Linked DNA regions of Callithrix jacchus. The protein of the gene in region 2 interacts with the protein of the main gene of each other region in a biochemical or structural test. Links are inferred from orthologs where the notes say so. Each region holds a gene or a part of one and is shown on either strand. Other genes may lie near its edges.

Region 1 (4,029 bases), on a different chromosome or scaffold from region 2:
TCAAATTTGAACTTAAGAAGCTCACTCCCCCACTTATTGAGTGACAAGAGTGGAAGCAAAAGACCAGTTAGCTGATTGTTGCAGTGATTGTGATGAAGAAGCACAGTGTTTTAGTTCAGGTAGTGAGGACGGGCAGAAGTGGACTGATGGAAGATGTATTTTGCAGGCAGAAACCGTAATATGATGGACAGGCTCAAGGTGGCCCAGGAAGAAAGGAGAGTCAAAGCTAATAAGGAGGCCAGGCATGGTGGTTCACGCCTGTAATCCCAGCACTTTAGAAGCCTGAGGCAGTTGGATCGCCTGAGGTCAGGAGTTCAAGACCAGCCTGGCCATCATGGTGAAAGCCCGTCTCTACTAAAAATACAAAAATTAGCTGGGCAAGGTGCCGTATGCCTGTAATCCCAGCTACTAGGGAGGCTGAGGCAGAAGAATGGCTTGAACCCAGGAGGCAGAGGTTGTAGTGAGCCAAGGTCATGCCACTGCACTCCACCCTGGGAGACAGAGCAAGACTCCATCCAAAGTAAGTAAGTAAATAAATAAATAAATACTAATGACAAAAGCTAATATGTATACAGCATGTAGTATGCACCAGTCCAGGCACGTAACTGACAAAATCTTCACAACCATCCTGTGAGGCAGGTACTATTGGCACTGTCTGAGGCAGGCACCTCCCCTTTGCAGATCAGGAAACTTGGAGGCAGACAAGTTAAACAACCTGCCCAAGACCATACCCTTAGTAGGTGCCCTGCTAGAACTGGAATCCAGGCACAAACGTCTGTCCATTTCTTCTTAAGGAAGACACTAGTACCATCAATGACAATGAGTAAGAGTACTTATTCTACCCACTTTCTGCTTCTCCTCTTCGGGTTTATCATTCTGGACTCACCTCCCTTTCCTGGCCCCCACCCAACTCGAGCATTTTCGCCCACGTAGAGGTCGTGGTCCTAGAAGAGGGCTACAGGTCAAAAAGGGGTGGGGCCGAGTGGGAATTCTAGCGAGGAGCCTAGTATTTGACGGAGGAGGGATGGGCTGGGTAGGTCCCCCGCTCCGACAGGGCTCTTACGCCATATGTGACGCAAATTAGCTTACGAGCCGGGGGTGGAGGTGTCGTCAGCATCCGCCTGCGTTTGGCAGAGTTGCAGCAAGGGGGGCATGTAGACCCCGCCTCATAGCGGGGTGGGTAGCGGCAGGCTCCGCCTCGGCCCCTCCTTCAGGCTCCCGCCAGCGTCGCTGCGGCTCCGGCCCGGGAGCGAGCGCCCGGAGCTCGGAAGGATGCGGCGCCCGCGGCGGCCTGGGGGTCTCGGGGGATCCGGTGGTCTCCGGCTGCTCCTCTGCCTCCTGCTCCTGAGCAGCCGCCCGGGGGGCTGCAGCGCCATTAGTGCCCACGGTCAGGAGGAAACTTGGGCTGGCTGGTGGGGGGGGGGTGGGGTGGGCAGCTTGGGGCCAGGAGGGAAACTGGGTGGTGGTGGGGGTGAAGTGTCAGAAAGCTTAGGGAGAATATGGGTTGGGGGAGTCAGGCGACAGAGGAGGGTGAGAGGGCGTCTGGGAGGAAAGGGGCGTAGGCCTGGAGGTGGGGCTGGGAATACGGGGGCGGGACCTAAGAGAATTGGGCTCCGGGGAAGACTGCAGGTTCGGGAGGACACGGGGTGCTTGTGGACAGAGGGACTTAGAGACCGACTGCGAGACCCCAGGAGAAGCCAGTTGCGCCGAGGCGCCAGGGGAGTAGTGACAGGCACTGAATGGGAGGGGGCGGGGATGTGGCGGAGAGGGTGAGGGAACGGCGATCCCTGGGCAGTGGAAGCCTGGGCCGCAGGCATAAGGTCCTAGCTGGGCCGAGAGAGAGGCCAGGGTTTCTCCGTAAGCCTAGAGAGGCCGATTGCAGCGATGTGATCTCCCGTAACAGGGAACAGCACGGGGAGGGGGCAGAAGAGGATAAAGAGGGGAGGGTCCTCTCCTGTCCCCCTCCCCACAGCCGGGCCTGGTGCTGACTCACATCTGTGCGGACAGAGACAGTCAGCGCTGACTCACGGGCGGAGGGTGGGGGTAGGAGGGTGGTGCGTGGGGGAAGGGGCGCAGCCTCGCCGCCTGGCGCCCTCTTTCCCCAGCCGGGCTTGGAGGCCCGAGAGACAGAGTACTTCCTGTGACGCTGTGGGTTGGCAGAATAGAACGGAGGGCTCAGGTCTTGCGGAGAGTCCTCGTTCTGTGACCCCTTCCTCTCTGGTAACCGCCTCCAGGCGAGCCCCTGGCGGCGCCAGACTCAGAACTTCAGCACCGCGGACAGCGCCAGCGGCCCGGGACAGCGCCGGGAGAGCTGCCTTAGAGACCCCCTCCCATACCCGCTTTCCCCCGACCGGGCGAAGTGTGCTAGGGTTTCCACCTCTTCTGGGTTCCAGGCTATTATAGGATGCTTTTGGATATTTGGGGATGAAATTCCCCTTTCTCTCAAAATTTGGCCAAAATTTCTCCTACAGTAATTCTATGAGGACAGACAAGTATGTTATTCTCCACCACTTCTTTCTCCCTGCACCTGGAAGGTTTCTTCCCTATCACTCAGTTAAGTAAACAGACGCTTTTAAGGATCCAGACTCACAAATTCTTCAAATCCAAAACTAGATCCCATGCTTCCTTTTAAGAATTTTAGGCCTGATTTTTACTCTCCTCCCAGCTTAAGGCCTTCTTTAGAATGAAAGAATAAACTGCATCTGCTTCCCCCTTTCCCAGCCTGTCCACCCATCTGCCCATTCTCTGTGTGTGGGTGTCTGAGCCTCTGCTCACCTGTTCCTCTACAGGCTGTCTATTTGACCACAGGCTCTGCTCTCACCTCGAAGTCTGTATTCAGGGTGAGTGAGGCCCAAGTGTAGAACTGACAAGATGGGGGGAAGATGGGCAATAAAAAGCAGGAAAGGGAGAGAAGGCCAGAAAGGAAGAGGGCTACTGGGCTTGAGAAGAAGGAGGACTTGCCTGGAGGAGGAGAGGTAGGGGAGGAGGTGAAGAGAATACTGTTCATTTGCAACCTGGACTTCAAAAGGCCTCTTGTTCAAGCCTCCTGCTGACACCACTTTTGTGCCCTTAGATGGCTTGTTTGGACAGTGCCAGGTGGGAGTGGGGCAGGCCCGGCCCCTTTTGCAAGTCACTTCCCCAGTTCTCCAACGCTTACAAAGTGTGCTCCGACAACTCATGTCCCAAGGTGAGGTCTGGGTGTGTTGGAGGAGAGAGATTGGAACTTGGTTAGTTATGGGTGGGGAAGAGCATTTCTCTTCAAGGAACATTTTTAACACACCCACTGCTGGAGCCTCATCTTCCCAGATCTTGCTGGAGTGAGAAGTGGAACCCTAGAGATCAGCTATTCACATTTAGACTCTCTGGAGAAGCCCAGAGGAGGCTTCTAGAAGAAGCCAGTGGAAGGCCAGCTTCCTTAGGACCAGTTCCTCTCCCTGGCACTGAGTGCTACAGAGACAAGAACACTGTATTCCTCAGCCAGGATAATATTCCACTCACCCAATTCCTCATTCAACAAGTATTTATTGAGTACTAACTATGTAGCAGGCATAATTTTAGGTATTTGGCATGTATCAGGGAATAAAACAAAGATCTCTGCTTGCTAGAGTTATATTTGGGGGATAAGGGGAGGAAACACACTATAAAAGGTAGAAAATATATAGTGTCTTAGAAGATGATAAATGGCATGGAATATTACAGCATGATAAAGGGATCAAAATGGTGAGGTAGAAAGCTACAGTGTTAAGTCAGGTGGTCAGGTGGAACTTATTGAGACTGAAATTTGAACAGACTTTTTAAGGAGGTGGGGGAGTTTGTCAGGTTATCTAGGGGAAGAGTATTTCAGGCAGACCAAACAGCTAGGGCAAAAGCACAAGTCTGAAGAACACATAGAGGCCAGGAGACTGAAGAGGATTATGGAGAAGAGCAGAAAGTGCAGTCAGGTAGGTGAAGGGTAGGGGAATGTGTGGACATTGGCTTTACTCTGAGTAAAGAAGGAAACCATTACAAGATTTTGAGCATAGGTGCACA
Region 2 (3,973 bases):
ACAGGGTCTCACTTTTTCACCCAGGCTGGAGTACACTGGCGTGATCTTGGCTCACTGCAACCTCCATCTCCTGGATTCAAGCAATTCTCCTGCCTCAGCCTCCCTAGGAGCTGAAATTACAAGGGCCTGCCACCACACCCAGCTAATGTTTTTATTTTTAGTAGAGATGGAGTTTTCACCACGTTGGCCATGCTACTCTCAAACTCCTGACCTCAAGTGATCCACCTGCCTCAGCCTCCCAAAGTGCTGGGATTACAGGCATGAGCCTCCTCTATCAGGCCCCTTCTCAGACTTTCTTCCCTTTCTTTTTTTTTTTTTTTCAGTTTCATTCTTGTTGCCCAGGCTGGAGTGCAGTGGTGCCATCTTGGCTCATCGCAACCTCCACCTCCTGGGTTCAAGCAATTTTTCCGCCTCAGCCTCCTGAGTAGCTGGGATTACAGGCACTCGCCACCATGCCCAGCTAATTTTTTGTATTTTTAGTAGAGACGGGGTTTCACCATGTTGACCAGGATGGTCTCGATCTCTCGACCTCGTGATCCACCCGCCTCGGCCTCCCAAAGTGCTGGGATTACAGGCTTGAGCCACCGCGCCCAGCCCAAATGTTCCTTTTATACTGTTCTGGGGACATTTTCTGTATGTCATTTAACCACGTATTATCACACCTAGTTGGTTGGTTCTGTATTTTCCTTCCCCACTAGACCGCAGACTCTCAGCTGTTGCTGGTACTACTGCGCTTATCTACAGGGCCTCAGAAGGAGCCGGAGTCCCTGGTTGAGCGCTCAGTACACAGGGTGCGAACCAATCAGTGCAAGAATGAACGTGCCACCGGGTCTTGCATGCTTGCAAAGTGCTTCTCCAAGCTGATTTTGCTTTTCGTGCCCAGGCAGCTTCCGTGAATTGCACGGTAGAGGTCAATAGTTTCTGCGGGTCCGTGGGGAGCCAATGGAAGGAGGATGAGAAATGCAGTCCCACCGCACTCGGGCTGCCCGCGTCCGGCGACAAGCGAGGGATCCGACAGCTTCTGCACCTCCCGGAAGCGGCTGCGCCGGCCCCGCCCCTCGGGAGGTGGGCGTGGCATCATGAATAATGAATCGCGCCGGGGAAGGGCCGGGCCCGCCCCTCCGGGCGGGAAGGGGGAAGCGCTGAGGCTGCCTGACTGGAATGAGGGTAGCTGTGGCGACTGCGGCGGCTGGAGAGGGGCCGGCCATGGCGGTGTGGACGCGGGCCACCAAAGCTGGGCTGGTGGAGCTACTCCTGAGGGAGCGCTGGGTCCGAGTGGTGGCGGAACTGAGCGGGGAGAGCCTGAGCCTGACTGGCGACGGCGCCGCGGCCGAGCTGGAGCCCGCTCTGGGACCCGCGGCGGCCGCCTTCAACGGCCTTCCGAACGGCGGCGGCGCCGGCGACTCGCTGCCTGGGAGCCCGAGCCGCGGCCTGGGGCCCCCGAGCCCACCGGCGCCGCCTCGGGGCCCCGCGGGTGAGGCGGGCGCGTCGCCGCCCGTGCGCCGTGTGCGGGTGGTGAAGCAAGAGGCGGGCGGCCTGGGCATCAGCATCAAGGGCGGCCGCGAGAACCGGATGCCGATCCTCATCTCCAAGATCTTCCCGGGGCTGGCCGCCGACCAGAGCCGGGCGCTGCGGCTGGGCGACGCCATCCTGTCGGTGAACGGCACCGACCTGCGCCAGGCCACCCACGACCAGGCCGTGCAGGCGCTGAAGCGCGCGGGCAAGGAGGTGCTGCTGGAGGGTGAGTGGGGCCGGCCGACGGGGCGGGAGGGTGGGCGGGCCGCGGCGGCTTGGGCTCGCGGGAGCTCACTTTGTTCCTTCCCTGCCGACGGGGCGAGCCGGTTCTCTCCCCGTCTCTTCCCAAACCCGGGTTTCTGGAACTTAGAGTGTGGAAAAACGGATGCTTCTTGCAGGAAAAGTTGGGCAGCCGCCGAAGTGTGGCTTGCAGCCCCTAAGGAAGACTCGGCTGAGATTGGGCAAAAAGCAGCTTCCCATGAAGCTCCCCCTCGGCCGGATAAGCTGACACTAAGAACTAGAGGGAGAGCGAACGGCTCGAGTGGGTCTGTCTCCGTTTGCCCGCTGAGAAGTGCCGGGTTGGCGCTTAACTCACTCAACTCTGGCTCTTCGGGGCGGGCAGGTCTATTAAAAAAAGTCCAACACCGATGCCAGCGGTATACTTGGGCAAACCACCAAAGCGCTGGTTAATTTATGGGAATTTAACCCATCATTGGCTCTCAACAATAACCAAAGGAGATCATAGCACTTCATTGAAGCCAGAAAGCTGAAACAGCAAGTCTGTGTGGTTAATGAACCTTAACAGTGGAGGATCACGTGTTTGAACATTTACTGCCAACTAGAGTTTTGCCCCTTTTGCAAGAGTCTGCTGCCAGCTTCCTTCCACTCACAGGCGCGCTGCTTCAAGACTATTACGGCTTTTGTAAGAAACTTGAAATGGTAAATCACAAGATAACTTTCAATAACCAGGATTATTCTTTACATTAAGTTATATATGTGATTTGTAAGTTGGATCTTTTATGATGAATTTGAAGTAAGGCAAAAATAAAATTCCTCTCCTTTAAGGACTCATGCATATTGGAGGTGATAGAGTAAACTGTAAACGAAAAGTCAGTTGCTTTCTTTAGCAATTTTTGAGAGGTCAGCTTTCTTTCACTGGTGATTATTGCTAGCTGTGTTGAAAAGAATATGAAAGAAGATGCTGTCCCTTCTTGGTCTCTTATTGGAGAAATGATAGAAAAATGCAAAACAACTTATAGGAAGGAAAGGGATGAAGTTGGTGATTATGTCGTGCAAACTGTATTTAAGTCCCAAGGGAATGCAAAGTTAGAAAGTAGTTAGTAGAGATGGAATTAGGCAGGCAGGACTTTTTCCCTGAGCCAGTTCTCCAAGGAAGTGATGGACATAGGCAGGCAGGGATGAGTCAGGAGAGTATTCCTGGCAGAGGAAGACAGAAGGGAAGGACCAATCATCAAACCGAGAGGCCAGAAGTCCAACTTGGCACAATAATTTTCAGTTTCTTATAAATCAGCTTGTGAATATTTGGAAAAATACTGGTTTATCAGAAATGATTTCATGTACACCAGTTGTGAAATTCGTGTCCCACCTTTATAATATCCTATTTGTAAACCTTGTTTATTTTGGATGTCTAGGTGGGGCTAGACACGGCTCGGAAATTTAGTGTTAATAGAAGGAGTAAAATTATAGATTGTGGTTTGGGTGTGTCTAAAAAAATTGTTATTTTGGCCGTGCGCGGTGGCTCAAGCCTGTAATCCCAGCACTTTGCGAGGTCGAGGCGGGTGGATCACGAGGTCAAGAGATCGAGGCCATCCTGGTCAACATGGTGAAACCCCGTCTCTACTAAAAATACAAAAAATTAGCTGGGCATGGTGGCACATGCCTGTAATCCCAGCTACTCAGGAGGCTGAGGCAGGAGAATTGCTTGAACCCAGGAGGTGGAGGTTGTGGTGAGCTGAGATCGCACCATTGCACTCCAGCCTGGGTAAGGAGCAAAACTCCGTCTCAAAAAAAAAAAAAAAAATTGTTATTTTAAATGTGTGCCTTGAAATTGGTCTAGCTAAGCATTTGGTTATAAATTCTTATATCCAGAATATTGAATTTAGTACTATTTATGTAGTCCTCAGTTGAACCCTTTACACCATATTTTTTAAAAACAACACTTTTTGGCCAGGCGAGGTGGCTTATGCCTATAATCCCAGCACTTTGGGAGGCCAAGGCGGGTGGATCACCTGAGGTTAGGAGAACCCAGCAAAACCTCCTCTCTACTAAAAATTCAAAAATTAGCTGTGGGTGGTGGTGCACGCCTGTAATTCCAGCTACTAGGGAGGCCGAGACAGGAGAATTGTTTGAACCCGGAAGGCGGAGGTTGCAGTGAGCTGAGATAGCACCACTGCACTCCAGCCTGGGTGACAGAGCAAGACTACATCTCAAAAACAAA

Evidence for each region. The genes of interacting proteins can lie anywhere in the genome.
Region 1: the proteins of SNTB2 (region 2) and PTPRN form a complex in vitro, tested with the Homo sapiens proteins (2 studies listed by BioGRID and IntAct). The link is inferred for Callithrix jacchus from reciprocal best matches to the Homo sapiens genes SNTB2 and PTPRN.

Annotation. Positions count from the first base shown.
Region 1 is NC_133507.1:141,052,006-141,056,034, reverse strand, and holds the start of PTPRN (receptor-type tyrosine-protein phosphatase-like N), read left to right. Parts: upstream 1-1,212; 5' UTR 1,213-1,272; coding exon 1,273-1,387; intron 1,388-2,789; coding exon 2,790-2,840; intron 2,841-3,073; coding exon 3,074-3,187; intron 3,188-4,029. UniProt on the Homo sapiens protein: Plays a role in vesicle-mediated secretory processes. Required for normal accumulation of secretory vesicles in hippocampus, pituitary and pancreatic islets.
Region 2 is NC_133521.1:26,738,204-26,742,176, forward strand, and holds the start of SNTB2 (beta-2-syntrophin), read left to right. Parts: upstream 1-1,144; 5' UTR 1,145-1,161; coding exon 1,162-1,741; intron 1,742-3,973. UniProt on the Homo sapiens protein: Adapter protein that binds to and probably organizes the subcellular localization of a variety of membrane proteins. May link various receptors to the actin cytoskeleton and the dystrophin glycoprotein complex.